Ovis aries: one gene and its partners. The protein of the gene in region 5 interacts with the protein of the main gene of each other region in a biochemical or structural test. Links are inferred from orthologs where the notes say so. Each region holds a gene or a part of one and is shown on either strand. Other genes may lie near its edges. The genes, in order: MAPK8, MLANA, NDFIP1, JUNB, ITCH, NUMB and NFE2.

Evidence for each region.
Region 1: of the proteins of ITCH (region 5) and MAPK8, one has a biochemical effect on the other in vitro, tested with the Homo sapiens proteins (2 studies listed by BioGRID). The link is inferred for Ovis aries from reciprocal best matches to the Homo sapiens genes ITCH and MAPK8.
Region 2: the proteins of ITCH (region 5) and MLANA form a complex in vitro, tested with the Homo sapiens proteins (2 studies listed by BioGRID and IntAct, with this or other methods). The link is inferred for Ovis aries from reciprocal best matches to the Homo sapiens genes ITCH and MLANA.
Region 3: the proteins of ITCH (region 5) and NDFIP1 form a complex in vitro, tested with the Homo sapiens proteins (2 studies listed by BioGRID). The link is inferred for Ovis aries from reciprocal best matches to the Homo sapiens genes ITCH and NDFIP1.
Region 4: the proteins of ITCH (region 5) and JUNB form a complex in vitro, tested with the Homo sapiens proteins (2 studies listed by BioGRID, with this or other methods). The link is inferred for Ovis aries from reciprocal best matches to the Homo sapiens genes ITCH and JUNB.
Region 6: the proteins of ITCH (region 5) and NUMB form a complex in vitro, tested with the Homo sapiens proteins (3 studies listed by BioGRID). The link is inferred for Ovis aries from reciprocal best matches to the Homo sapiens genes ITCH and NUMB.
Region 7: of the proteins of ITCH (region 5) and NFE2, one has a biochemical effect on the other in vitro, tested with the Homo sapiens proteins (2 studies listed by BioGRID, with this or other methods). The link is inferred for Ovis aries from reciprocal best matches to the Homo sapiens genes ITCH and NFE2.

Annotation. Positions count from the first base shown.
Region 1 is NC_056078.1:41,792,933-41,795,460, forward strand, and holds part of MAPK8 (mitogen-activated protein kinase 8), read left to right. Parts: intron 1-25; coding exon of another isoform or gene 26-30; coding exon 31-176; 3' UTR 177-2,528. UniProt on the Homo sapiens protein: Serine/threonine-protein kinase involved in various processes such as cell proliferation, differentiation, migration, transformation and programmed cell death.
Region 2 is NC_056055.1:74,040,133-74,044,428, reverse strand, and holds the start of MLANA (melanoma antigen recognized by T-cells 1), read right to left. Parts: upstream 2,801-4,296; 5' UTR 2,636-2,800; intron 1,904-2,635; exon of another isoform or gene 1,860-1,903; intron 616-1,859; 5' UTR 591-615; coding exon 514-590; intron 1-513. UniProt on the Homo sapiens protein: Involved in melanosome biogenesis by ensuring the stability of GPR143. Plays a vital role in the expression, stability, trafficking, and processing of melanocyte protein PMEL, which is critical to the formation of stage II melanosomes.
Region 3 is NC_056058.1:50,835,312-50,838,811, forward strand, and holds part of NDFIP1 (NEDD4 family-interacting protein 1), read left to right. Parts: intron 1-729; coding exon 730-854; intron 855-3,086; coding exon 3,087-3,153; intron 3,154-3,500. UniProt on the Homo sapiens protein: Activates HECT domain-containing E3 ubiquitin-protein ligases, including NEDD4 and ITCH, and consequently modulates the stability of their targets. As a result, controls many cellular processes.
Region 4 is NC_056058.1:11,037,597-11,041,156, reverse strand, and holds JUNB (transcription factor JunB), read left to right. Parts: upstream 1-1,235; 5' UTR 1,236-1,519; coding exon 1,520-2,563; 3' UTR 2,564-3,060; downstream 3,061-3,560. UniProt on the Homo sapiens protein: Transcription factor involved in regulating gene activity following the primary growth factor response. Binds to the DNA sequence 5'-TGA[GC]TCA-3'.
Region 5 is NC_056066.1:63,862,096-63,865,595, forward strand, and holds part of ITCH (E3 ubiquitin-protein ligase Itchy homolog), read left to right. Parts: intron 1-636; coding exon 637-725; intron 726-2,465; coding exon 2,466-2,625; intron 2,626-2,886; coding exon 2,887-3,020; intron 3,021-3,500. UniProt on the Homo sapiens protein: Acts as an Acts as an E3 ubiquitin-protein ligase which accepts ubiquitin from an E2 ubiquitin-conjugating enzyme in the form of a thioester and then directly transfers the ubiquitin to targeted substrates.
Region 6 is NC_056060.1:82,826,680-82,830,179, forward strand, and holds part of NUMB (protein numb homolog), read right to left. Parts: intron 3,389-3,500; coding exon 3,184-3,388; intron 1,266-3,183; coding exon 972-1,265; intron 1-971. UniProt on the Homo sapiens protein: Regulates clathrin-mediated receptor endocytosis. Plays a role in the process of neurogenesis.
Region 7 is NC_056056.1:132,256,502-132,260,702, reverse strand, and holds the start of NFE2 (transcription factor NF-E2 45 kDa subunit), read right to left. Parts: upstream 2,801-4,201; 5' UTR 2,646-2,800; coding exon 2,632-2,645; intron 2,435-2,631; coding exon 2,266-2,434; intron 1,039-2,265; coding exon 28-1,038; 3' UTR 1-27. UniProt on the Homo sapiens protein: Component of the NF-E2 complex essential for regulating erythroid and megakaryocytic maturation and differentiation. Binds to the hypersensitive site 2 (HS2) of the beta-globin control region (LCR).

The DNA of each region.
Region 1 (2,528 bases), on a different chromosome or scaffold from region 5:
ACTGATTCGCTGTTCTGTTCCTCAGCACAGGTGCAGCAGTGACCAGTGGCTCTCAGCGTCCGTCATCATCGTCGTCTGCCAATGATGTGTCCTCAATGTCAACAGATCCGACCTTGGCCTCGGATACAGACAGCAGTCTAGAAGCGTCGGCTGGGCCTCTGGGCTGCTGTAGATGACTACTTGGGCCTCGGGGGGTGGGAGGGATGGGGAGTTGTTTAGTCATTGATAGAACTACTTTGAAAACAATTCAGTGGTCTTATTTTTGAGTGATTTTTCAAAAATGTAGAATTCATTTTGTAGTAAAGTAGTTTATTTTTTTTAATTTCAAGTGATGTAATTTAAAATTTAAGTTGTGTTTTAAAACAGCAACAGAACTGTGTATTTTTGCTGTAATTAACTGTATAATGTAAACCTAATTATTTTATCATGGTTTAAAATTTTTGCATATTTGCTTTATCTTATGCTGCTGATTTTTTTTTTTTACTGAATTTGTAAGATTTTGTTTATCAAAGCAACTATTATGTGGTGACTTGCCTATATCATGAATTATTTAAGATTTTATAGTTTTTTTTATTAGAATTTATTTCAAATGTTTTGTTCATGATGCTATCCTTTAGGGTTATGTGCTTATCAATGAAATAACCCCAGAGGAGTGAGGGAAAATAACCTGTAGCCAGTTATATTCAGGAATAACTACTGTAAATGATGAACGTGTTTTTTTAAAAAAAAAAAAACCTCCAATATTTGCTACTTGCCAATTCTAATTTAGTTACATACAACTGATAGGTAATCCTATGTGAATTTTGGCAAAAGCCCCATCATCTGAATGGCAGAATAACTCAGAGCATGTCTTTGAAAGTGTTGGGCATCTACCACCATCTTCCTATCCCCGTATCCCACCCACCAACAGTACAGTAAGAGAATATGGTGTTTCCTGCAAATTTGTGGCATGCTCAAAGCTTATGATCACATAAAGTCAAGAGGATACTTCATGAATAATACATTTCAACGCAAATAAACAGATGGTTCACCTGTACTAGCTGTGAGCCTGTTTTTGTATACACTGAGTTAATCTACTCAGGCTGTAGGTCCTAGCAATGATCTAGAGTCTGGTCTTTCTCTTTCCTACAGCCTCGGGCCCTTGGACCTATTCAGTCTCCTGTTAGAGTGTCAGTCAGTTGAGCACCAGTTCTCAGGGTGTTTCTGGCCATTTGATTCTACCTGTGGCGTAATCATATTTATACTAGCTGTTGGGAGGTTCCAAAGCCTACTTAGATTTCTGTAGGTGATGTATAAAATGAGCAATATACCGTTCATCTGAAAATAGTAGCACACAGCCATATATAGGATATCATTTTCTAAGGACTGTTTCTTCATATTGAGCAGAGCAGGCATAAGTGGTAGTTATTTAGTCTGAGTCTTTCATTTTTTTTAATACCTAATTTTCAATAAAACACACGATGTGGATGTTGAATAGTGTAAGAATGGTGCTGCTCCTGACAGTTGTATGTTAATTGTTTACATTTTATATCTGCAAAATTATTTCTCTATAACAGAATTTTTCTTAAGTAAAATGTCATTGAAGTCTCATTATCTCTGAAATATGTTGTCTGTAATGCCCCAGGCACTTTTTATTATTTTTGGAACAAGAGGGATTTCTTGTAATGAACTGGGAAATGCATACTTAAATAAGCAAAAAGTTCTAGGCAGAATGCCCAATGGAATTAATGACCAGCAGGAGTAGGAACTGGTGCGATTCAATGTGTGGCATATGAACGTCCACTTGGCACGGTATTCATGTATTCAGTGCAAAATTCCTTTTGAATAAGGTATTTTAGGTCATTGTTAATGTGCAATATATAGGATCAAAATACATTAACAGCCATTTTATATGTTTTAAAATAGTAAGATTGTTTTTGATTGTTTAAGCCATGATTTCCAGCCTCTTTCGAAGTGGCAGTCTTTTTATTCCTTTTCTACTCATATGACAGGGTGCATTAATTTTATTAGGCAAAATAAAGTTTTGAGACTATGACACCTCTTGAATTGTAGAAACAGGATTGGATTTGCAGTTTCAGGAGAATTTGAGCACGAATGTGCTGAGGTTTTATTAGCTTGACAGTTACCTAGCTTTATTTCTATAGAATAGATTATTTCACTGTTGCACTTTAACAACTGACATGCTCCCAGAAGATTCCCTTCATTTTCTGCTTCCTTGCTGATGAGCCATCTCTTGGCGCAGGTGTTGGTTAAGCAAGGAAAACCAGGTGTTTTAACAGTATCATTTGTTGTAAATGCCAGCTCCACTTGCCACCCAGCATGTTTCAGTTGATTGAGAGAAAACAAAACTCTTAATAGTCATGTAGACTTAAGATACATCCTAAAAACAAAGTCTGTAAGTGTTGTGTGCCCTGGGTTTTTAAAATGCAGTATCTCAATACAACTTTCCCTCTTCTCTAACTGTGTCAAATAAGCTAAAGATGGGCTAGTTCTTTTTAGTTTTAGAAGTTTTTGAAACTTTAAAACAT
Region 2 (4,296 bases), on a different chromosome or scaffold from region 5:
ATTTTTAAATAATTCATAATACAAAACACCTTTCTTTAGGGTAAAGCATTGATGCAAAGGTTATGACCACCCTCTTCACCTTGGACTCAGTCAGCAGGTGGAGGGACGCACCTGCCCTTCAACCTCACTGTCCTTTGGCAACTTGCCTCTGTTCTATCTGCAAACCACCTCTGGGAGCCCAAGTGGAGCAGTCAGGCAAGGCTTGAGGACAGAGGCATCATGCTCTCAGACAGGATTTTCAGCCTGGGAACCCACAGTAAAGGCCTCATAGCCAAGAATGCAACAAAAATGGCAAGATCCAGGTTTTTGCCTTCCCTGCCTCTTTGCCTCTTTGGCCTCAGAGAAACCTGAGACCTTTTGTAGGACCTCAGGGTCTCCTTACCTCATTGCCAGGTTTATTTCTGGAGAAATAAACACTAGAGAGATTTACGGACCAACATGTGCTGGTGGAAGCCAAAGGCTGTGTCAGCAAACGGCAAACTGTAACCCCGCTGGGTCTGATTTTGAACTTACTCTTCAGTCGTGACATAAGAGTGGCTGTGCCCTTTCCTGGGGGAACCATAGAAGAAGTGAACCTCTTCTCTTGGCATCTTGTAGGGTCAGGCCACGGGACACCTAGCAGCAGGGACACACAGGTGTCATTTCATGCATCCAGAGTGTTCTTACCATCTCAAAAACACCCACAAAGACATTCTCGCTAGGTGACTGAAAACGATATCCAAACCCTCTGTTTTCTCTCTCTGCAAGGACTCGTACTTGTTTCTTTCACAGATGTCAAGTGGGAATTGCTCAGGTTTTTAACCCCTTTCTACCAACTGAAATTTAAGTTCAAAGAAGAAACCACAAACAAAAGGAAAAAACTTTCAAACTGAGTTGTGATTTGAGAATTAATTTGACTCTATACCACAAACTTGTAGAGAAATAAACAAAAAGCATTTTAATTCATTCCTTACTTTCCCTGGCTCAAGACAGATTAATAAGAGGAGTTATTTCTCTCCAGAGGTATTATTTTATATCAATCCTTGGACAAATAAAAGGCTATGATGATATAATGGGCATGTGTCTCAGCACAGCATCCTTCAAGCCCATTAATTCCAACAAAGGAAACTGTCCCCAAAATATGAAATTTTAAACTATGATACAAACAAGTAAAAAGCTCATGAACTTTAGTGGTCATTATTAGAGTGTGCTTATTAAAAACCAACAATGATTTCTCTTCTCTCCTTGCTATTGTGCGTTTTTCATTCCTTTTATTGTTCTTGTGAATTGCATAGGTCTGATCCCCATAGAGTTATATTAATGAGCCCATTTAAAACAGCTGAATAGAAGTGGAAAAGGGGAGTGGAGAGTTCACCCCATGAACCCTTTCCTTGGGGCATTGCATGTGTCATTTGCGCTTCCCAGTTGTAAAGAAGTCACAGTTGACCTTACTGATCATCTCAGGTGAATAATGTGGGGATGAACTCTGTTCAAAATGACAGACACAAAACGAATTCTGCATTAAGTTCGTTTCTGTAAATCTATACCTCCAGTTTCGAGCCTTGGCAAACAGTGGCGGGACAGCAAATGTACTTCATCCTACCTGAGCCAAGAAAAGTGGTTCTTAAGGGAGTAGACACAGCTGTTCCTGAGCCAGTTACAGCCTGAACAACTGCTTTTCCTGGTTCTCTGCTTTGCTTCTGGGCAGTCTAGAGGTAGGACCTAGGAGGAGACTTTGTGAACCCTTAAAAGTCGGAGAATTGTGAATATTGAGGAGAATTCTGCCGACATCCAGGTATCAGAAAGGCTGGAGGAGTCCACTGGAATCTGCCAAAGCCTGTTCTGTTCTGAAAGAGTGGGTGAAAAGGCTTTGCTCTTACCTGCCTTCCTGGGACCAACTCCGTCTGCTGGCTGCCGTTTCTGTGAAGATTGCTTCTCTGGCTCTTAACCTTTTTCATTTTTTTTCCCCCTGGTCTCGAGTCCCATGTTAATCACGAGTTTAGATTTCTGATGGGGTCGTTTGTGATTGCTTAATTAGCGTGAAAGAAACCAACTTCATTCCTCTCCTCAAAAAGTCACGGCTCACTGTGGCCTCTTTTTTCCTTAATCCCAGGTTTCATCTTAGGGGAGTCATTAGTTTTAATGCTGATCCCTCATCTGTAGGATTGCCAGTTAAAATATAGGCTTTCCAGTTACATTTGAATTTCAGATAAGCAATGAATAGATTTTAGTATAACGGTGTCCCATGAAATATTTTTAGTGCAAAAAATTATTTGCTGTTTACTTGAAATTCAGTTGTAATGGGGTACCCTCTACCCACCCTCATCTTCACCTCAAAGTGTGGGTGAGCCTTTGGTCTCAGGCCTGAAGGTAATCTAGGAGCACGACTTCCTGATCAAGAAGAGGAATTAGAGGATCCCTGAAACTTCCTGAGCTAAGCTCCCAGGTCTTTTGTGACACCCTCAGAGACGACTGTCCCTTGGGAAGAATGGGTTTCTTGCATTGGCAAGGAGCAGAGAAAATTTCCTGTTTGAAGGTGGATATGACCTACCTAGAATTTAATTGAAACCAGGGCTAATTCAACCTACATAGCCTGCTCTGAGAGTCAAATGTGTACAGCCCAGAAGCATTTCAGTGGGACAGAATTATTGCTCACCAGCTCTCTGTCGGAGAAGGCAATGGCACCCCACTGCAGTACTCTTGCCTGGAAAATCCCATGGTTGGAGGAGCCTGGTGGGCTGCCATCTATGGGGTCACACAGAGTCGGACACGACTGAGCAACTTCACTTTCACTCTTCACTTTCACTTTTCACTCTGATGCATTGGAGAAGGAAATGGCAAGCTACTCCAGTGTTCTTGCCTGGAGAATCCCAGGGACGGGGGAGCCTGGTGGGCTGCCATCTATGGGGTCACACAGAATTGGAAATGACTGAAGCAACTTAGCAGCAGCAGCAGTAGCACCAGCTCTCTGTAACCATTGTAAACAGGCAAAAACTAAACAAAACACCCACCAGAATTAAGGAATGTGAGAGTTCTCATCAGCCAAGCACTTAGATTAAATGACCACTAAGGTTCCCCTTTATGGCTTCCTTGGTAGTTCAGATGGTAAAGAATTTGCCTGCAATGCAGGGGACCTGGGTTCGATCCCTGGGTTGGGAAGATCCCCTGGAGAATGGAATGGCAACCCACTCCAGTACTCTTGCCTAGAGAATTTCCATGGACAGAAGAGCCTGGTGGGCTGCAGTCCATGGGGTTGCAAAGAGTTGGACATGACTGATTGACTAACGCGACTACAACATGAGGTCCGCTTCCCCACCTTGCAGATCTTATGGTTCTTTCCAGTTCCCATTGGACTGTCTCGTGTGAGGGCATTATCAGCACTGGATAATCATCAGTGGAAATGATGTGGGAGAAATAAAACAGCATGAGTGAGGTTGATCTTTATTAGGTGAGATCCTTGTTCTCTCCTTTCTGAAAAGGAGAAAAAATGCAAACAGATCTGAGTGACAAGAAGGAGTCAGCCATTCACAGATGGACAGTGTTTCATAGAGAAGAACCAGTGCAAAGGCCCCACAGCAGAGAAAGAATCAGACTTGGTCTGGACTGCCAGAACTGAGGCTGATTTAGGAGATTTCATAAGAAAATCAGGAAGGATACAAGCCTTTGGTGTCAAGGGATTTGAGGAGAGCAGCTTTAACCTGAGACTCATGTTTATGCCCAATAACTCCCAGGAAGGCCTAGTGGTGTGTGCTAGTCTAGAAAGAAAAATGCAGTTCTTTTATTTACTTAACCTTTTTTTTTAATTTTAATGTATACTTTATTTTTTAGAACAGCTTTAGATTTACAGAAAAATATGAAGATAATACATAGATATCCCACACCCAGTTCCCCTGTTATTAACATCTTAAATTAGTTACAATAATGAACCAGTAACTACAGCCATATCTTACTGAGATACCCTTAGTTTTTCACCTGCGCCATTTTTCTGTTCTAGAATCCTACAGGACATGTTAACTAAAGGGTGCAGTTCTGAGCCTAGAGATTGATACATGCTAAGCTGGACTCAACTAACATGGCCCCCTGGATGATGAGCACCCAGGCCAGAAAGGAAGAAGGTACTAACCTGGATCTCCGGGCAAAGGGAAGCTCCTGGGTCTCGCTCAAGTCCCTCAGTGATGTGAGCTAATCCGGGGGCCCTGAGTGTGCCCGGGCACCGTTCCAGGGTGGAAACTGCAAGGCAGCTGGCATTGTCTGCTCCCCCAGAAGAGGCTCTGGGACCAGGCCCAGCTCACTGGGGATACTGTGACCTGTCTTGGC
Region 3 (3,500 bases), on a different chromosome or scaffold from region 5:
GTTATGGAGGATGCTGCATTTTTCCTTGAGCTGAGCTTCATTTTTCTGATCTTCAGAACGCCTTAAGCATTCCTCCTACTCATTCTTGACCTATAAAATAGGGAGTAAATGCCTTTGTCTGATGAATTCTGTTTTAAGCACTTCTGTTTTCTAACACATCAAAGTCAACCTCATTTTCCCCCCTTGATGTTATTTTGCATTTAGCTTTCCATATGCCTGACTTGGAAGTGAGCAACCATTTCAGAAATTTTATTTTCTGTATTAAAAAGATATGAAGGAAATGCAGTGCTTTTAGAGGTAACGCATTATGTAACCTGTCAAAGTTTACAGAAGCAAGAGGATGAATGACTTGAATCAGATTATTTAGGGGCATTAATTTAATGTTCAAATAATGTTTAATTACTCAGGTATAACACATACAGTAAAGGGTGCAAGTCATAAGTATGAAGTTTGGTGATATTAAGTTATTTCTTAAATTGTATAGCCGTAGGTGTAATAATAAAACACCTGATATTTTGAGACTGTGCTTTCTTGTTTGCTTTTGGGAGGAAGACAGAGGATGGCCATTTTGGGGAAGTGAGGTAAGAGTTGTGGATTGTGGGCTCAGCTCGTTTATCCTTGAGAAAGCCATTTTAGCAGAAGTAAATCCAGAGTGCACCCTTAGAACTCTTGCTCCTTGGATAACAGGATGTGTCTGACCTGCCTCTTTTCTTCTCTTGGCTTTTACAGTGGCATTCCTCTTTAACTGGATTGGGTTCTTCCTGTCTTTTTGCCTGACCACTTCTGCTGCAGGAAGGTATGGGGCCATCTCAGGATTTGGTCTCTCTCTAATTAAGTGGATCCTGATTGTGAGGGTAAGTTAAGTTGTACACCAGCAGTGATAGTCTCTGGAGAAGAATGAGTGGAATAATTTTGAGTATTTGACTTTGGAATTATCTCAACATTTAAAATGATTTTTTGTTTGTCTTTGTCTGGTTTCAAGAAATTGAACCTAGATCAGTTGTAGTTGGTTCATGCACACAAGTTTTGTAGTCAGTCTACAAAATATTGGTGGCCCTGGGACATCTATCCTTGTTCAGCTGCTTTCTCTGTTTTTAATGTTTATAATGTGGTACTACATGTATTTGTTCTGAAATTAGTTGTTTTTATAATAAGAGTCTATTAACTTTGTGGTCTCTCATCAAAAGCAGACATTGCTCTCATTAATGCAGCTGAAGTTTGAGTCCTTCTTCTCTCTTCCCCTCTATTCTTTTCTCCCTCCTTCCTCCCTCTCAACCTTCCTCTCTTCCAAGATTGGTTTTAAGTAGCATCATTGGTTATGCCAGGATATTTGGAGAGCCAGAACTGTTCAACAAGCCCTACTCCATTAGGGGCCCTTATCTCTAAAGTAAATACGAGAGAGATCTTAAGTGATGTAGGAGTTATCAGTTAGTTAGAGTTGCATGAAGTGATTGAAAGTTGTAAAAGATCTAGTTTCTTTAAGTGTCCTCTGATTTCAGAGAAGTTTACTGCCATTGTTAACTTTATAATATAAAATCAAGTTGTTTATCATAAACACTAAGGGGTGTTGACTGAGCCATGGAGTTTTTCAAAGTTATTTATTCTAAGGCAGTTAACATTTTTAGAATTCCGAGTTCCTTTGAGAATCTGATAAAAATTATGGGCTTTTCTCCTAGACAACTAACATATACTCTTCTAAAACATGGTCTTTAGGTTACAAACTCAAGCCATAAAGAAGTTTTTCATTCCTTCTCTAAATCTTATTAATCAAGAACTAAAACTATTTGAATGCTCAAACTGTGCTAAACTCTAGACTGTGTTAAAGTCTTCAACAGAAAGCAAGATCAAAGTAGTTACCAATCTTTTTATTTTTACTAAATTTTTTAAAAGAATTAATCAGCTTTTATCAATTAGGATGGTCTTTGGAGTAACAGAACATGTAGCTCAAAAATGGCTTAGAAAACATTGGGGAAATTTTATTTCCAGTGAAAATAAGTCCTGACATGAAGGTCAGTTATGTTTCACTGATAGTCAAGGCCAGCCGACAGGTGTTTCAACCTGTTGTACAGCTGGCCATGGCAGTTTCAAGCATCACATCAGAAACACAACAGTGCTCAGCAGAAGAAAGGAAACTCTCTCCTCTCCCTTCCTTTTTAAGAGCTAAGAAGCTTTCCTAGCAGCCCTTAGTTCCCACTGGCCACAATAGTATCATGTGCTATAGAGTCCCTGGCAAAGGAATGGGGTTATCATCATGTACATGGTAAAGCTTCCAGGGTCAAGGCCTGGCTGAAAGGGCAGGAACAAAATCAGGGATCATTACAAAGGAGGCCAAATATAGTTGAGTTTGGCACTGTGTAAGCAAAATAAAAGTTATCATCAAGATATATTTCTGGGGCTTTCCTGGTGGCTTAGTGGTAAAGAATCCGCATGCCAATGCAGAAGACACAGGTTTGATTCCTGATCCAGGAAGATCCCACATGCCACAGAGCAGCTAAGCCCATGTGCCACAGCTAATGAGCCTGTGCTATAGAGCCAGCGGGGTTCAACTACTGAGCCCACAGGCCACCAGCCACTGACGCCTGCGTGCTCTTGAGCTTGAGCCTATGCTGCGCAACGAGAGAAGCCACAACAGTGAGAAGCCCGTGCACTGAACCTGGAGAGCAGCCCTGGCTCTCACAACTAGAGCAAAGCCTGCACGGCAGCAAAGACCAGCAAGGCCAAAAATAAATAAAATTTATTTTAAAAAAAGACGTATTTCTAAAAGAGGAAAAATAGTTTTTAAAAAACAAACAGGTTTGAGCACTTTCAAAACAAGGACTATGTAAAGCTGAAAGCTACCATATTTCAAGGTTGCTTTTCCATGAAAGGAAGTATATTAGCAAATATTGTAATCATTTCAAATCTGTACTATATAAAATACTTTGACTAAAATTTTAGAAATTTTTGTAAGCACTAAATGAGCAACAGCATTTGTGTACAAGTTAAGATCTTGTGTTTTGTAAACTTTTTTTTTTTGTAAACTCTTAAGCTAAAATGTGAAATAATATCTGCAGAGGTTCTCTAAAGTATTTTGCTTTATTTTTCAGTTTTCCACTTACTTCCCTGGATATTTTGATGGTCAGTACTGGCTCTGGTGGGTGTTCCTGGTTCTAGGTAAGTGCTTTTAAAAAAGAAAGGAGAGAAAAGATTATGTTAAATTTTAGAAGTAAAATTACTTTTATTAAACCTTTATCTCACTTACTATACAGTAATATATTAGTGATAATAAGTATAATTTTAAAAATATGTCAAAGGTTAGGCTGTTATCACCATCAGAGTAACATACATAGTCATAGAATGTCTCTTGGTGGTGGTAATTTTTTCCTAACCCATCCATACACACTTCTCACATTTTCCATGTAGCCAGAGGGGCGTACCAATAAGATGACTTTTTAATAGTCCTTAGATTTTTTTTCCCCCTTGTGAGTTATTGCCACATAGGGTTCACAAGCTCAACCCCA
Region 4 (3,560 bases), on a different chromosome or scaffold from region 5:
TCCGAGGCGCTGAACCCCGCCGGACACAGGGCGGGGTGCCTAGTCCCGTAGGATTCGAGTGACGGAGGCAGGGCCGGGCTCCGTCCCCCGGGGCTGTTGCCACACTTCCTGCCGCGGCGCTCTTTCCCCAGCCTGTTTCTAAGGAAGGAGTGGGGTTGGGCGACCGCGCCCCAGCCGTCGGGCTGGGTCTAGGCACTGGGAGCCGACACGGTGCCGGTCAACCTCAGGGTCACTAGGGGAGGGCTTTGGGGTGGGGAGTATACAGGCACCCACGAGAGGGGAGCCGATCATGGAAGGTCCCCAGGATCCTCAAAGACCCCTCCTTCTCTCAGGTCTCAACCGGGGACCCTCTCAATATCATCTCAGTTCTGAAAGGGTGCCTCGACCCTTCTAATTCTATCCTTCATTGAGGCTTCGCAGATGACCCCAGTGACCCCCAACCTCTGACAATCTTCTACCGCACGTATTTTCCTTGCCTCAGTGTACCCCAGGACCCTCACTCACTTTATGCGTTTCTAGTTTCTCTCAATGCCTTCCCCTTCCCGCTTGTCGGGGACTCTGTCTCTCTCCGGTGGGCTCCAGGACCCCGACTCATTTTTTGCATAGTGGACCCTCCAAACTCTCCCGGGTACACTTTTGATCTCTCCTCCTTATTTCACCTGGGTTCAGCTCCTCCCGGGAAAATTCCAGTCCCTCAACCATCCTGTACCCAGGACCCCCACTCAGTTTCTGAGTCAGATGTCTCCTCCCCCGCTTCCCCATCTACCTTGCTGTCTCTCCTTTGCGGGGTCTCTCAGTGTATTCTCAGCCCTCCAGCACCTCTGAAAGACTCCAGATCACTCAGGCCTTTCCGCGTGCATCCCGGGACCACCCCCTCCCCCCAACACGCACACACTTGCTCAGTACCAATTTCTCGTATCCCTTATCGCGTACTCCAGGGAAATCATCACCCTCCCCGAAACCTCTCCCGGTGTGCCTCGGATCGCCCCAGCAACCCCTTCCTCACGCACCCTAGGGTCCTCTGGCCCCTCCCCCTGCAGGCGCTCCGAGCCACCCAGCCCGTGGCCGCTGTTTACAAGGACACGCGCTTCCTGACAATGACGCGAGCCGCCTCCTCCCCTTCCCCACGCTCCAGAAGGGGGGTGCGGGGGCCTGGCTCCGGTGACAGCCAATCAGAGCGCACTTCCGTGGCTGACAACCGCGGTATAAAGGCTTGTGGCTCTGGCGGAGCGGCCGGGACCTTGAGCACGGCCAAGCCAGCACCGGAGCCAGCAGGGAGCAGGGAGCAAGGGAGAAGCGACACCAAGAAAACGAGCGCGCTAGAGAGGGGCAAAGGGGCTCGAGAAGCCGCACAGCTTCCTCGCACAGCCTCCGACCGGCCTCTCCCGACCAGTGCCAGCCCTCAGGAACGTTCGTCCAGACACCCGATACAGGCACAGCCGCGGACTGCGCGCGGCTAGCTGCAGCGAGGCCCGGGGCGGCCCCGTAGGGACCCCCTCAGACCGCCCGGGCCGCCCGGATGTGCACTAAAATGGAACAGCCCTTCTACCACGACGAATCATACGGAACAGCGGGATACGGCCGGACCCCGGGCGGCCTCTCTCTACACGACTACAAACTCCTGAAACCCAGCCTGGCGCTCAACCTGGCCGACCCCTACCGAAATCTCAAAGCACCTGGTGCGCGGGGTCCTGGCCCAGAGGGCAACGGCGGAGGCAGCTACTTTTCTAGCCAGGGTTCGGACACAGGCGCGTCACTCAAGCTCGCCTCATCGGAGCTGGAGCGCCTGATCGTCCCCAACAGCAACGGCGTGATCACGACGACGCCCACGCCCCCGGGACAGTACTTTTACCCCCGCGGGGGTGGCAGCGGTGGAGGTGCGGGGGGCGCAGGGGGCGGCGTCACTGAGGAGCAGGAAGGCTTCGCCGACGGCTTTGTAAAAGCGCTGGACGACCTGCACAAGATGAACCACGTGACGCCCCCCAACGTGTCCCTGGGCACCAGCGGGGGCCCCCCAGCCGGGCCCGGGGGCGTCTACGCCGGCCCGGAGCCTCCTCCAGTCTACACCAACCTCAGCAGCTATTCTCCGGCCTCTGCGCCCTCCGGAGGAGCCGGGGCCGCCGTCGGGACAGGGAGCTCGTACCCGACGGCCACCATCAGCTACCTCCCACACGCGCCGCCCTTCGCCGGCGGCCACCCGGCGCAGCTGGGCCTGGGCCGTGGCGCCTCCGCCTTCAAGGAGGAACCGCAGACCGTGCCTGAGGCGCGCAGCCGCGATGCCACGCCGCCGGTGTCCCCCATCAACATGGAAGACCAGGAGCGCATCAAAGTAGAGCGCAAGCGGCTGCGAAACCGGCTGGCGGCCACCAAGTGCCGGAAGCGGAAGCTGGAGCGCATCGCGCGCCTGGAGGACAAGGTGAAGACGCTCAAGGCCGAGAACGCGGGGCTGTCCAACACTGCCGGCCTCCTCCGGGAGCAGGTGGCCCAGCTCAAACAGAAGGTCATGACCCACGTCAGCAACGGCTGCCAACTGCTGCTTGGGGTCAAGGGACACGCCTTCTGAGCGCCCCCTTATCCCCCGTACGGACATTTCCCCAACCTGGACGGCTGGGCGCACGCCTCCCATGGGGCGAGGGGGCAGGCGGTGGGCACTGGCCCCGGGGCCTGAGGGCGCAACTAACCACACTGGACTCCTGCCCGCCCGCTCTGCGCCCAGTCCTTCCACCTCAACGTTTACAAGCCCCCCTTCCACTATTTTTTTTTATTTTTTTCCTGCAGAACTCAATTCATATTGAATATAATATATTTGTGTATTTAACAGGGAGGGGAGGAGGGGGCGATTGCGGCGGAGCTGGCCCCGCCGCCCGGTACTCTAGCCCTCGGGGATACTGGGGAGGGGACCCCCGCCCCCTGCCCTCCCCCCTCTGCACCGTACTGTGGAGAAGAAACACGCAGTCGGTTTCTAAAGGAGTTATTTTAAGCTGTGTTTATGTGTGAGTTCGTTTATTGTCCTTACTTTTTATTGAATCTATTTAAGTAAAAAAAAAAGTTCTTTATTAATTTCTGTTGTCTTTTTTTCAAGCCGGCCAGGGGGGAGGGAGGGGAGTACTGGGCAGCCCCCACCCCACGGCTGTTTGTGGCTTGCTCCTGTAACTGTGTCAACCTCGCCAGTTCTGTTCAGGCATCTTGCACCCTCAGCCGGGTGTCCAACCCTTCTGGCGTCTCCTGATCTCCCGGATTGGAAGGTCCAGGGTGTGTACACAGTCCAGCCACCCTTCCCCCCCCCCCCGCCCCCAGGGCCAGGGGACAGGATGCCTTGGGCAAAACGCTCAGCGCGCAGGCGCGGCACCTCCCAGCCGCGCGCGCCGGGGCTTTCCCCGCTGACGCTGCGGAAGCGCTGTCCAAACATGGGCTGATTCTGCCCAGTGACGCGACGGCGGTCTCCGGGCAGATTCCGGGAATCCCCTCCCCCGCTCTGCCGGGCAGGGCTGCGGCGCCGGGAAGGGGGCCGGGATTTTCCCAGGCTGGCGGCTACCGAGGCCCGGAAAGCCCCAGGCCTG
Region 5 (3,500 bases):
TTTTTCATTTTCAAGTTAGCCAATTGGCTATTATCTGTACCTTTTGGGTATAAAACAAACTGAAACCTGGCCCAGACCAAATAAGGACCTGACGTCTGATTGTGGTCAGTTACTCTGCTCTAAGCAAGTGAGAGAAGGAATTTTGTTATATATATATATATATATATGTATATGTATATATATATATATATATAATTTGTATATATATATAAAATTGTTATTTTGTTATAAATATATTTTTCTATATATAAAAATTGTTATATATATATATATATATATATATATCTGTTTTGAGAGTATAGAAGGCTATGTAAAATAGGACTTGAAATTTTAAATTCTCTTTTCTTAATGTTGAAGCTTCTAATCAAACCCTGGAAGACAGACTCAAGCAGTGGTAGGATCATTTAAAAGAAAATTATATATAAAGTATAGAGAAATATAAATATGTGTAATTTATAAAATATTATGAAACTTTAATGTATTTTCTAATATGTGTGGAATTGACCAAACTACAAACACCATTCTATATCCTGAGGAATTTAAGTTACTTATAATGAAGGAGATTTCTAACCCGGAAGTAAGTGATTAAGGTGTTTCTACTTTTACCAATTTTATACCTTTTTTTTTTTTCGGTAGATAATGAGCTTCAGTCCTCAAGATCTGCGAAGACGTTTGTGGGTGATTTTTCCAGGAGAAGAAGGTTTAGATTATGGAGGTGTAGCAAGGTAGTGATAATATGAATACTCAGAACTTAGTTCCTTTCCTCCAAAGGTATCATTACACTTTGCTTGCAAGTATTTTCTCAATTTTCTATTTCAGGAAAATGAAATGTAGCAAATTTTTGTACCTTTATTAAATGTTGCAGTTATAAAACTTCAAAAGCCATTAATTGAACACTTCTCTCTCTAAGGTACCGCTAGTTGATTTCACCCACATCACTCATTTATTCATCAGGATAATTCTGTGAGAGAATTTTCCAGGTAATAATGAGGTATAGAGAGTCACCAGAGACACATAACTAAGTTGTAGAGCCTGGATGCAAGTTTCACATCATCAAACTAGAAGCCAGTGTTCAGTTGACTGTATCATATCTGTTCCGTAAAATGTACAAGGCCCTAGAGTGTTCAGGTCACATTCTGCAACACAGACTGTTGATAGAAATAATAGTCATTCAGTTCCTAACTGAGTTTAATATATATATAACTGTTTTGAGAGTATAGAAGGCTATATGAAATAGGACTTGAAATTTTAAATTCTCTTTTCTTAATGTTGAAGCTTCTAATCAAACCCTGGAAGACAGACTCAAGCAGCAAGTTGCTTTGCTTATTCCATAATGATATATCATACAGAGTTAAAAATTTGCATATCAGTGGCCTTACAAAAAGCCAAGGATTTTGAAGTCAAGATTGCATTTGAATCCTTTTTCTGTACTTAGTAGTATGACTTGGGGCAACTGCCTTCATCTGTATAATAAGAGTGATCATAACTGCTTCTCTGGGATTGCTGTAAAGTGTAGAAATATAGTTTATTAATATCCTACTTCAGACCCTGAGTCTTTGTGGAGTCACTAACTGGTCGCTGCATTTTAGTGGTTTTTACTTAGGTTTTGTTTCAAAGTTCATATTTCAAAATGTATGAAGTAATCACAGGTAAATAAAAATATGAGTAGAAACATTTAATTTTGTTTAAAGTAAAGATAATTCAGGAGGAGGGTAATCATTCATTCCTAGCTAGTAGTATTAAGTATAAGCAAGACTACCACCAGAGGCCATAAATCAACAAAAAAAGGAATCTCGGGCATGAACTGATAAATTGCCCCAGATTCACTCTACCGACTGTTCTGCCAGATCCTCACCCCTGTTACATAGTTAGTAACTATAATCTTACATTAGTATTGGTTGATACTTTCACAGCATTTGAATTAGAGCTTCTCAGTGTATTTTTCTAATGAATGAGTAGCTTGAATTAAGTGTTTTATTGCCTCTGTGATATTGGAAGTTTTTTCATATTTAAGAGAGCAGTAGCACTTAATGAGCATCACTGAGGGGCTTGGACATGGATGGAATAATGTTAGACTTGTTTCAGCTACTCTAACCACATGGGTCGACAGTGAAGTTTAAACTTGCCTATGTTTAGTATTTCACTGATTCTAAGACTAAAGTTTTCATATTTTAACATTTCTGAAACTGAGATGTGTATTACAGTTGGAAATTTTTTTTAGTGGTTCATCAAATAATGTTGTCTTTAAAGTCAATGATGTCTTAGATTCTTTGAAATAAGCAGTGTGTAAATATCTTTGTAAAATAGATGGCGGTTTGTACAGAAGCTGTAAAAATCAATGTGAAACTAGAGAAATATCACCACGTGAGGAGTATAGATTCCTGAGAGCTTTATAGCACTTCTCTTTGATTTATTGGTATGGTTACTTACAAGATTTTTCACCCTAAATTTTCTTTTGGTTTCAGAGAATGGTTCTTTCTTTTGTCACATGAGGTGTTGAACCCAATGTATTGCCTGTTTGAATATGCAGGGAAGGATAACTACTGCTTGCAGATAAACCCCGCTTCTTACATCAATCCAGATCACCTGAAATATTTTCGTTTTATTGGCAGGTTTATTGCAATGGTAAGTTCAAGTGGAGAACTGTGTTTACTTTGCTAATTCAGCAATACTAAAGCATTGTGCCTTTAACTTTCTCGTTGGAAATTTTCTCATCACTAAGACATGTCTTAAGATTGGGTTCTTATATCTTCCCTTTTCCCAGAAATATTCCATAATAGATTGTATGATGGGGAGTTTGTTTTGTCTTTTAACTGAAGAACTCATCTTAACATTCTGAAATACAGGGACCATTATAAAATTATGGATTGTTTTCTTCTTGCATAGGCTCTGTTCCATGGGAAATTCATAGACACAGGTTTTTCTTTGCCATTCTATAAGCGTATCTTGAATAAACCAGTTGGACTGAAGGATTTAGAATCGATTGATCCAGAATTTTACAATTCTCTCATCTGGGTTAAGTAAGTTTGTTTCCTTTTAATTATCAAAATATAATCTATATGTTTTCTTTTTAAAAAAATATTTATTTCTTTGGCTTTGCTGGGTCTCAGTTCGTGGCACACAGGATCTTTGATCTCCTTTGGGGCATGCAGGATCTTTTAGTTGCAGCATGTGGGATCTAGTTCCCCGGACCAGGGATTGAACCTGGGCCGCCTGCATTGAAGTCTTAGCTACTGGACCACCAGGGAAGTCTCTAGTCTGTATGCTTTCATTATAGTATTGGTAATGTATTCAGACTGTAAGCATGTAATTGGTTTACTGAATTTACATGATTTATGTTAAATCTCATTATTCAGTGTGATTATTTTTATAGAAATATACCCAAAAATCTTAGGTAAAATATGACTATTAGAGCATCATATTCCAGCTTTGTTATTCTGATGTTACAGTTTGACAATAATTATTGAAGAACATACTGCTTCCCAGGTGGCTCAGTGGTA
Region 6 (3,500 bases), on a different chromosome or scaffold from region 5:
CTAATTATATGTGTTGAAGCTCTGTCTGCTCAACTGTGAAAAGAGAATAATGGTTTTGTTACCCGCCTGCTCCAGAGGGAGATTGAAAATGAGGTACTTGAAGCATCTGGAGTTTTGGTTTTCATAGGAGTTGAGAGGGGGCAAGACCCTCAGTAATGATCTAGTTTAACTGTTCTTTAGGCCGAGTTTTATCCATCAAAGAACCTAAATCTCTGTGCTTTTGTGCCACCAGCAGTAAGAGTGCCCTATTGAGACACGGCTTCCTCAGATTCTGTTATAGCACTGGCTCAACATGTCTGAGAGCAAAGTAAAATAGGGCCCAATAAAAGCACTGACCGGATCTGACACTTAAGCTTCGGATCTTATGATGAGGATAGAGCTACTGGGGTTGGCTCAGCTGTACAAAGGCCACACAAAGGCCTGTGTGACAGCTCTGAAAGGTAATGAATATGTGTGAGCAATCCCACTGTCTCTGATGAACAACAGATCTTAGATTTATACAGGAGACCTGTTTAGAGTTTCCTCCCTATGGAGCCAACCAGCCACAAGGACAAAGAGAACTTATCCATTTCTTCTGGTACATCTGACAGTGGTGCTATTTAACTGGATGTGTTTCCAAAGCCTTTTAAATTAACTCCCTGCTGGGTCCCAAATGGCAGAAGAAGAAGGGAAACTTGAGACCCTTGATGTCTGAAAGCAGGTACACTTTCATCAGGACAAATCACAAACCATGTAACTTGGACTAGGAATTTCCATCATGGCTCTGTTAACCTATTGCTGAAAATAAATGAACAACTCCCATCTCTCTCTGTGAACCTCCATTTTCTGCCAATGGGAAATGATACAAGCTATGCACAGCCACCAAACAGCCTCAGAAGAGGGGTGGATAGTTTGATGGGATCAGGGACTCCACTGGAGGTGATGTAACGCTTCAGTGCCTGAGCCCCGGGGAGTTGGGGATGCCATGTTACCTGTGTGTTTTATGGGGAAATCAGTCTTCCTCTGCATAGTGGAAGGCAACTCATTGATGCGCAGGGACAGTTGGCGTTTAAAGGGTGACATCTTCTGGCTAAGAGCAGGAAATCCTCGGAAAGAGCCTTGGCGAGCAAGTTGTTCAATTGGTGCATGCCGGCGTGGGATGGCGTGAGGATTGTTCATCTCCAGAGAGGCAGTGGCATCCAGAGTGGGAGAGGTGGGAGAGGATGGGGAGGTGACAATGTTGCCAGGGGCCACTGACGAACCATCAGCTGTCTTATCTGTATCAGCTCAAGAAAACAGGAGAATGAGGACCTTAGGGCAATGTCTTCAAATAATTTGAGCTCACATCACTAAGGAACCCCAAAAACCTCCTGGGTCATTTTACCCATCTACTTCCCTATGTATCTCAAAAGACAGGTTAGAAGCAGGGCTCAGATCTCCTGTTTTTCAGATAAATAAAGGGTTTAATAATCTACTACATGTCACATGGTATATCTACTATTCTCATGTAGTAATTAAAACACTGAACAAAACTAAACAAAACAAAACCCCCCAGTACCTATGAACTCTTAATGTGAGGTCTTTTAACGAATAATAGTGCACTGTTTTCAATGTTTGTTTGCTTTCTGGCCAGTGAGGCGGGGACAGAGGACTTCAGGAGTGGCAGAGTCAGAAGGGTCTAAACAAACTTAAGTTTGACAAGATGTTAAGTCATAAAGCAGGCCTGGACAACAGGCTCTCTTGAAGAAAAGCATACAGAAGTCAAATTTTAAATTGGAGTAAACAAATACAAGACTGTTTCCATGTGAATACCTGCTGTATCACACTCTCATTGTGGTCAGTCTCTACTTCCCCAACTCCCCATAATCCTCTGTAGATGCTAGGACTCAAGCATTTGGGCAGCTGCTATATGTAGCAAAAAGTATTATTTGGTGGTATCAAAGAATATGCTTCCGGTCTGAAAATCACTGAGGCACATTAAATAACAGCCTATACACATTCATTTGTCTAGTTAAAATAGCACTGTGTTTTTTTTGTTCTTTGGTATCCTGGCAGAAATGTCGATAAGAAATGAAAAAATCATAATCATTACTTCAATTTCAAATGAAAACATATATTCTTTTTTGGCTTAAAAATTAAAAGCTGTTTGGGTATTAGATTAATGAATGCATGCTAAGTTGCTTCAGTCGTGTCCAATTCTTTGTGACCCCATGGACTGTAGCCCGCCAAGCTTCTCTGTCCATGGGATTCTCCAGGCAAGAATACTGGAGTGGGTTGCCATGCCCTCCTCCAGGGGATCTTCCTGATCCAGGGATTGAACCCATGTCTCTTAAAGCTCCTGCACTCGGAGGCGGGTTCTTTACCACTAGTGCTACCTGGGAAGCTGATGTTACCTAAAATGGCAGGTTTAGAATTAAAAGAATATAGTAAAAATTGGCAAAATTATATTAATGTATATTTAAACCAAACTTTTTAATTTAAAAATACTCCTTGCTTTGGGTTTCAGCCCAAGTTATACACAAGAATGCAAAGCATTTTCTCCCTAAGCCCTAGCACTCAGTTCTAAAATACACTGGACTCAACTTCAGACAACAGCCTCCTGAGTAACTTGAATGTCTGGACAGGCATTTTTGCTATGCTGCCAAGTGTACCTTAAAAAAACTCACATTCTGCAAAACCACACACTAAAATTAATGGGGCTATGGAAAAAATAGTGAGGGGCCAGCTTCTCAAAAATCTGTGGCCTTTTTTCATGAAAGCACTAAACAGTCATAATCTAATAGAGCATCACTGAGATGTCTCTGCCTGCATTTCCACCTGGCATCACCATCTGCAGGTCCTTTGCAGCTTAAACCTGGGACTTGCACTTCCTTCAAGATGTAGGTCCTTGATAGCATTTGGTTTTCATAGAGATCAGATGCATCACAATTGAAAAAAAAAAGATACAGGTTTTCCCAATTTTGCTTTTAAATGTCTTTGCAACTTCTTCAACTGCACTCTCAGCTTCCCCAGGTAGTTAAAATTAACAGACAGAGTAAATACTTTGAGGCCACTAAACAAGCCACTCTGTTTACATTTTCAGCTTTGTTCTTAAGGTCTTCATATATTGCTAAGAGTTCTCTATGCCCCTGACAGCTTCCAAATATTAACCGGTTGGGAAAAGCTGTTTTAAATAAACACACATTGTAGTAGGACAAATTGTACCTTTCTTGGCATCTTGGATTTGTTTCATAATCTCCTCTCTTTCTGCTTGCTCAGTGGCTGTGGTGACACGGAATGATCCTTCTCTCGTGAAAGTGGTCCGACTGGCGTCGAAAGTAGCAGTCACTCCACATTCCTTCTCCCGCTTCTGCTTACGTTCTAAACAGGCTGCAAAGGCACAGCCTACAGCGTGGCTCAGTCTTTCACCCTGTACATAACAGAAGGTTTAAAAAACGTTTTCAGAGTTATGGTGTCAACAACTACACATTAGCTGGACCACAAACAAGTCTGTTTTTACACAGGCAAAATGTTAGGAACTC
Region 7 (4,201 bases), on a different chromosome or scaffold from region 5:
TCACCAGTCCCACCCCCTCCGGCCAGGTCAGTCTGTGGCCTCCATCTTGGTCCCCCGGGGCACCAGGAAGATGGCCCCATCAGCAGCCTGGTGTAGCGCATACTCTTCAGGGGAGTAGCTGTTGCCTGCTTCATCCCGCAAGTGCTGGAAAATGTCACGGTACAGGTCCGTCAGCTGTTGGCGCATGACCTCCAGGGTCCGGTCGGCCTCGCCTCGGGCCCGGAGAAGCCGCTCCCGCTCGCTGCCCAGCCGCTCCAGTTCCCGCTCCAGCTGCACGATGGTCTCCAGCTTTCTCTTGCGACAGTTCTGGGCGGCCACCTTGTTCTTGCCCCGCCTTCGGATGTCCCGGACCAGGGCCAGCTGGCTCTCTGTCAGCGGGTACCGCGCCAGCAGCTCGTTGAAGTCGTCTACTGGCAGGTTGACAATCTTGTCCGTAGGGAAGGGGATCTTCATGGCCAGGGCCCGCCGCTCATCCCGACTCCCCGCCTCCCCCCGTGCAGTGGGCTTGGCCCGCACAGGGCCCGAGGAGGGTTCTAAGGCTAAGGGGGTCTCGGCAGGTGGCAAGGCATAGTTGGGGTGGGTCAAGGAGTTGGGCATTAGTGAGTAGGGGTACTCCACTGGGTACATCTCTACATACTCGCTGCGACGCCGGCCAGCCTCCGTCCCCTCCAACTCAAGAGATTCAGCGTCACTATAGTTGAGGGATAATCCTGAGTCAGATTCTGGGTCTTCTTGGGGCTTGGATGGCCCCGCTGACAACCCAATGTCCAGGAGGGCCAAGGGGTCTGGGAGGGGGTCACTGAGCAGGCCCGAGAGGGTCAGTGGCTTGGAGACTGGTACAGTCATGTTGCTACCATAGGAGTACGGAGGGTCTGGGACATGAGACGTGGGTGCCGGGAGCTCATAAGGTGGTGTAGGAAGGGGAAAGCCAGGCTCCGAGTGGATAGAGCAGGGGCAGTAACTTGGAGGCGGCGGGGGCCCTGGGTATGGGACAGGGGCTGGGGGCTCGAATGATGGCTCACTTGGAGCATTCAGACCCTGCAAGAAAAGACACCAAGAGGTTTGTAGACGGGCTGAGGAAGAGAAGAAACCATCTCTCTCTCAGAACCAATCTAAGTCCCACTGAAAGAACTAGTGAGATAATCACAAGGGAACAGAAAGTTGCTAATAATCATTAAAAGCTTCTGGCAAAGTTGTGACAGAGCAAGTTCATGAAGAAAGCGGCTTAAACAGGAAGGGCACTCGCTGAAGTCAGACTTCAGAAAGGACTAACGCCACAACAGTTGTGGAATCCCCTCCTCTTCAGGAGAAGTTCTTACTGGCTTGAGATGTCTCTTGTCCCTTTATTTCCTTCAGGAAGACAAGGAGTCACTCCACGATGACCCTTGGAACCCTTTTCCTGCTGCCATTATCTAGGGTCAAAGGGTCAAGTTCAGACCCTGGCCATGCCCTGGGTGCCCAGCAGAGGGAGCTGCTGTGTGGGAAGAGAGCTTAGGGCAGATCCTGAGGACCCAGGCTGGCATGGGCACAGTGCCAGGTCTGGGGCAGAGAGTTACTTCGGGGAGCCACCGTGAGCTCTGCCCTTTCCCCTCCAGTCCCTCTGTCCCTGCCCAGGTGCAGAGAGGAGGAGAGAACATGCTGAGGAGAACAGGGCCCCCAACCCACATCGGGGAGCCATCCTGCTCCAGCCCAGCTGGGGACAAAGGCATCATTGTTAGGCCAACAGACACCCCTTTGTCCAGGTAGCAGGAGGAAAGGACCCCGGCATAGCCCGACCCCCCACCCCCACCCCCACCTTCCTGAGGCCCCTGAACTACAGCTCTGCTACCTGAGGGAAAGGGGCCCAGCTGCTGAGGACAGGGGAAGGAAATGAGGGATGAAGACGGGCAGGACTGGAAGAGGGCAGAACAGAGGAAGGTGAAGAAGGGAAGAAGGGAAGGCGGGGCAGGAGGTGAGGTAGAGAGCCGTGAGCAGAGTGGCTGCTCAGAGAGCTTGCACCCCCAATCAGATCCTTCCTTCCCACCACTGCTATCTCTTGCTCATCCGCACCCCTCCCCCTCAACGCTCTGGCCTTCCCTCCAGATCTCTTCGACTCCAGCCCTTCTTTTTACAGTGTCCAGAAAATCTCCCATCTTGAGACCCTGGGCTCTGCTTGCTCCAGTGCCACCCCCTGCCACACACACCCAGGGCCTCGATCCCAGCCAGACTCCCTGTTTCGCTGCTTTTCCCTCCCCCCACCACCTTGTTCCCCACTGCCTGGCTTACCTGCAGCTCAGTGATGGACATGATCTCCTGCCAAGTCAGTTCCATCTCACCTGGCTCCGGAATGGGTAGCTGTGTTACCCTGTTCCTGCTCTGCTGTGGAGGACACGGGGACATCCTACTGGGCCAGGGCCTGGTCCAAGGTCCCGAGAGCCCAGATGGTCCCAGCAACCTATATCAAAGAGAAACAAAGGTTAGGACCTCTCCTGCCACGGGTCAGCAGTTTTATCCTTCTTCATTGAGCAGCTGGGCTTCCCAGGTGGCGCAGTGGTAAGGAATCCACCCGCCAATGCAGGAGACTTGGGTTTGATCCCTGGGTGGGGAAGATCCCCTGGAGGAATAAATGGCAACCCACTCCAGTATTCTTGCCTGGAAAATCCCATGGACAGAGGAGCCTGGCGGGCTACAGTCCATGGGGTCACCAAGAGTCTGACATGACTGAGCGACTGAACACGCACGCATGCACAGAGCAGCTCCCTCCAGCTTCCCCTGAGGGAAGGAGACGCTTCATCCCCCCATCCATGCTGCACTCATCAACAACTCCTTAAGCTAGAAAGCCTCTTTCTGCTGTGTTATCTCTACCTCACCTGCTATGGCTGTAGGCAGTTCCTCTGGGAGCTCTACTTTTCAGATAAGATGCCTTCTCTTTCCCCTACTGCTGAACTCCTCAGGACTGCATCACAGGCCAGGACAGAAGCCACATCATCTAGGGTGGTGGTTCTGTTTTTCCTGTCTCCTGCAGCAGCCTCAGGGATCACTCCTGCTCTCCTCCTCTGCCCTCAGTTTTAGGATCTCAGTCTTTTCCTTCCAAGTTGAGAGTGAGTGCTTGGGGATCCCCAAGGAGCGTGTTGTGGGAAGAGCCAAGCAGACAGCCCCTCCCTTTCTCTAAGATAGGCCCTGGGCCTGCTGGCTGATAGCAGCCCTGCCCTCGCCTCCTATCCTGGTCCTGGGCTCCCCTGCCTGGGCCAGATAAGAGGTTTATCAGCAGCAGGCAGCAGAGGAGGAATGGTCTCTGGAGACACTGGACCTCTGCCCTGTGTCCTGCAGGGTCCTCTTGGCTATACCCTACCCCACAAACCAGGTCATATAATAACCACAGCAAAGACTTGCTTGGCATTTGTTGAGAACTGAGCCTGGGGGTCTATAGGCACTCATTTATGAGATTGATTTTCACAAAGATCCTATAAGGTCCATTCTGAATCTGAGACTCAAGCTGCTAAATAGCAGAGTCAGGTCTGGTGCTTAGAGTTGCTGACTCTCCTGCCGTCCCATCTTCCAGGTGCCTTCCCAGTCCTGCTCCCACGTCTTGCTACGCCGAGACTCTACTGGTAGTCAGCATCAGTCAGCTCCTTCTGTGGAATCTCGGCCTCTTTTCTCTTCTAGGGAATATTTCTTTAGAGACTTGAATACTCACTCCCCTTCAGCCCCTTTGCTTTGGATCTGGGCTGGAGTTGCAGACCTGCGCAGCAGCAAGATGTCGGGCAAGCCGTCGCCTTTCTCTGAGCTTCTGTTTCCTCATTTGTAAAACCAGGGAGTGAGACAAGTTGAATTTGGAGGTCCCTCCCTCTCTGCTTGGACAGTTCAACATTCTCAGCAATCCCTCAGCCCTGCCTTCATCTTCTCCTTTCTGTCACCCTTTCTCCTCACTCCACCTCCCTATTCCCTGACACCCATCTCACCCTCATCTGTTCTCCCTGCCTTTGGCAAGACACTCCAAGCAGATTTGGCAGGGGCCCCCTGCTCTCTTAGGGCCACGCACTGTACCCTATATCTGCTGCAGAAGTAAAGGCAGGCAGACTGGGTGAGTGGGGGAGACTTAGAGAAGGACAGGCAGAGCATAGGGTTGGAGGACCTTAGATCACCACAAGGATGGCCCATCACAGGTATTTAATGTGGAATCCACTCTGACTCACCACAAAATTCACGAGAGCTGCAAACT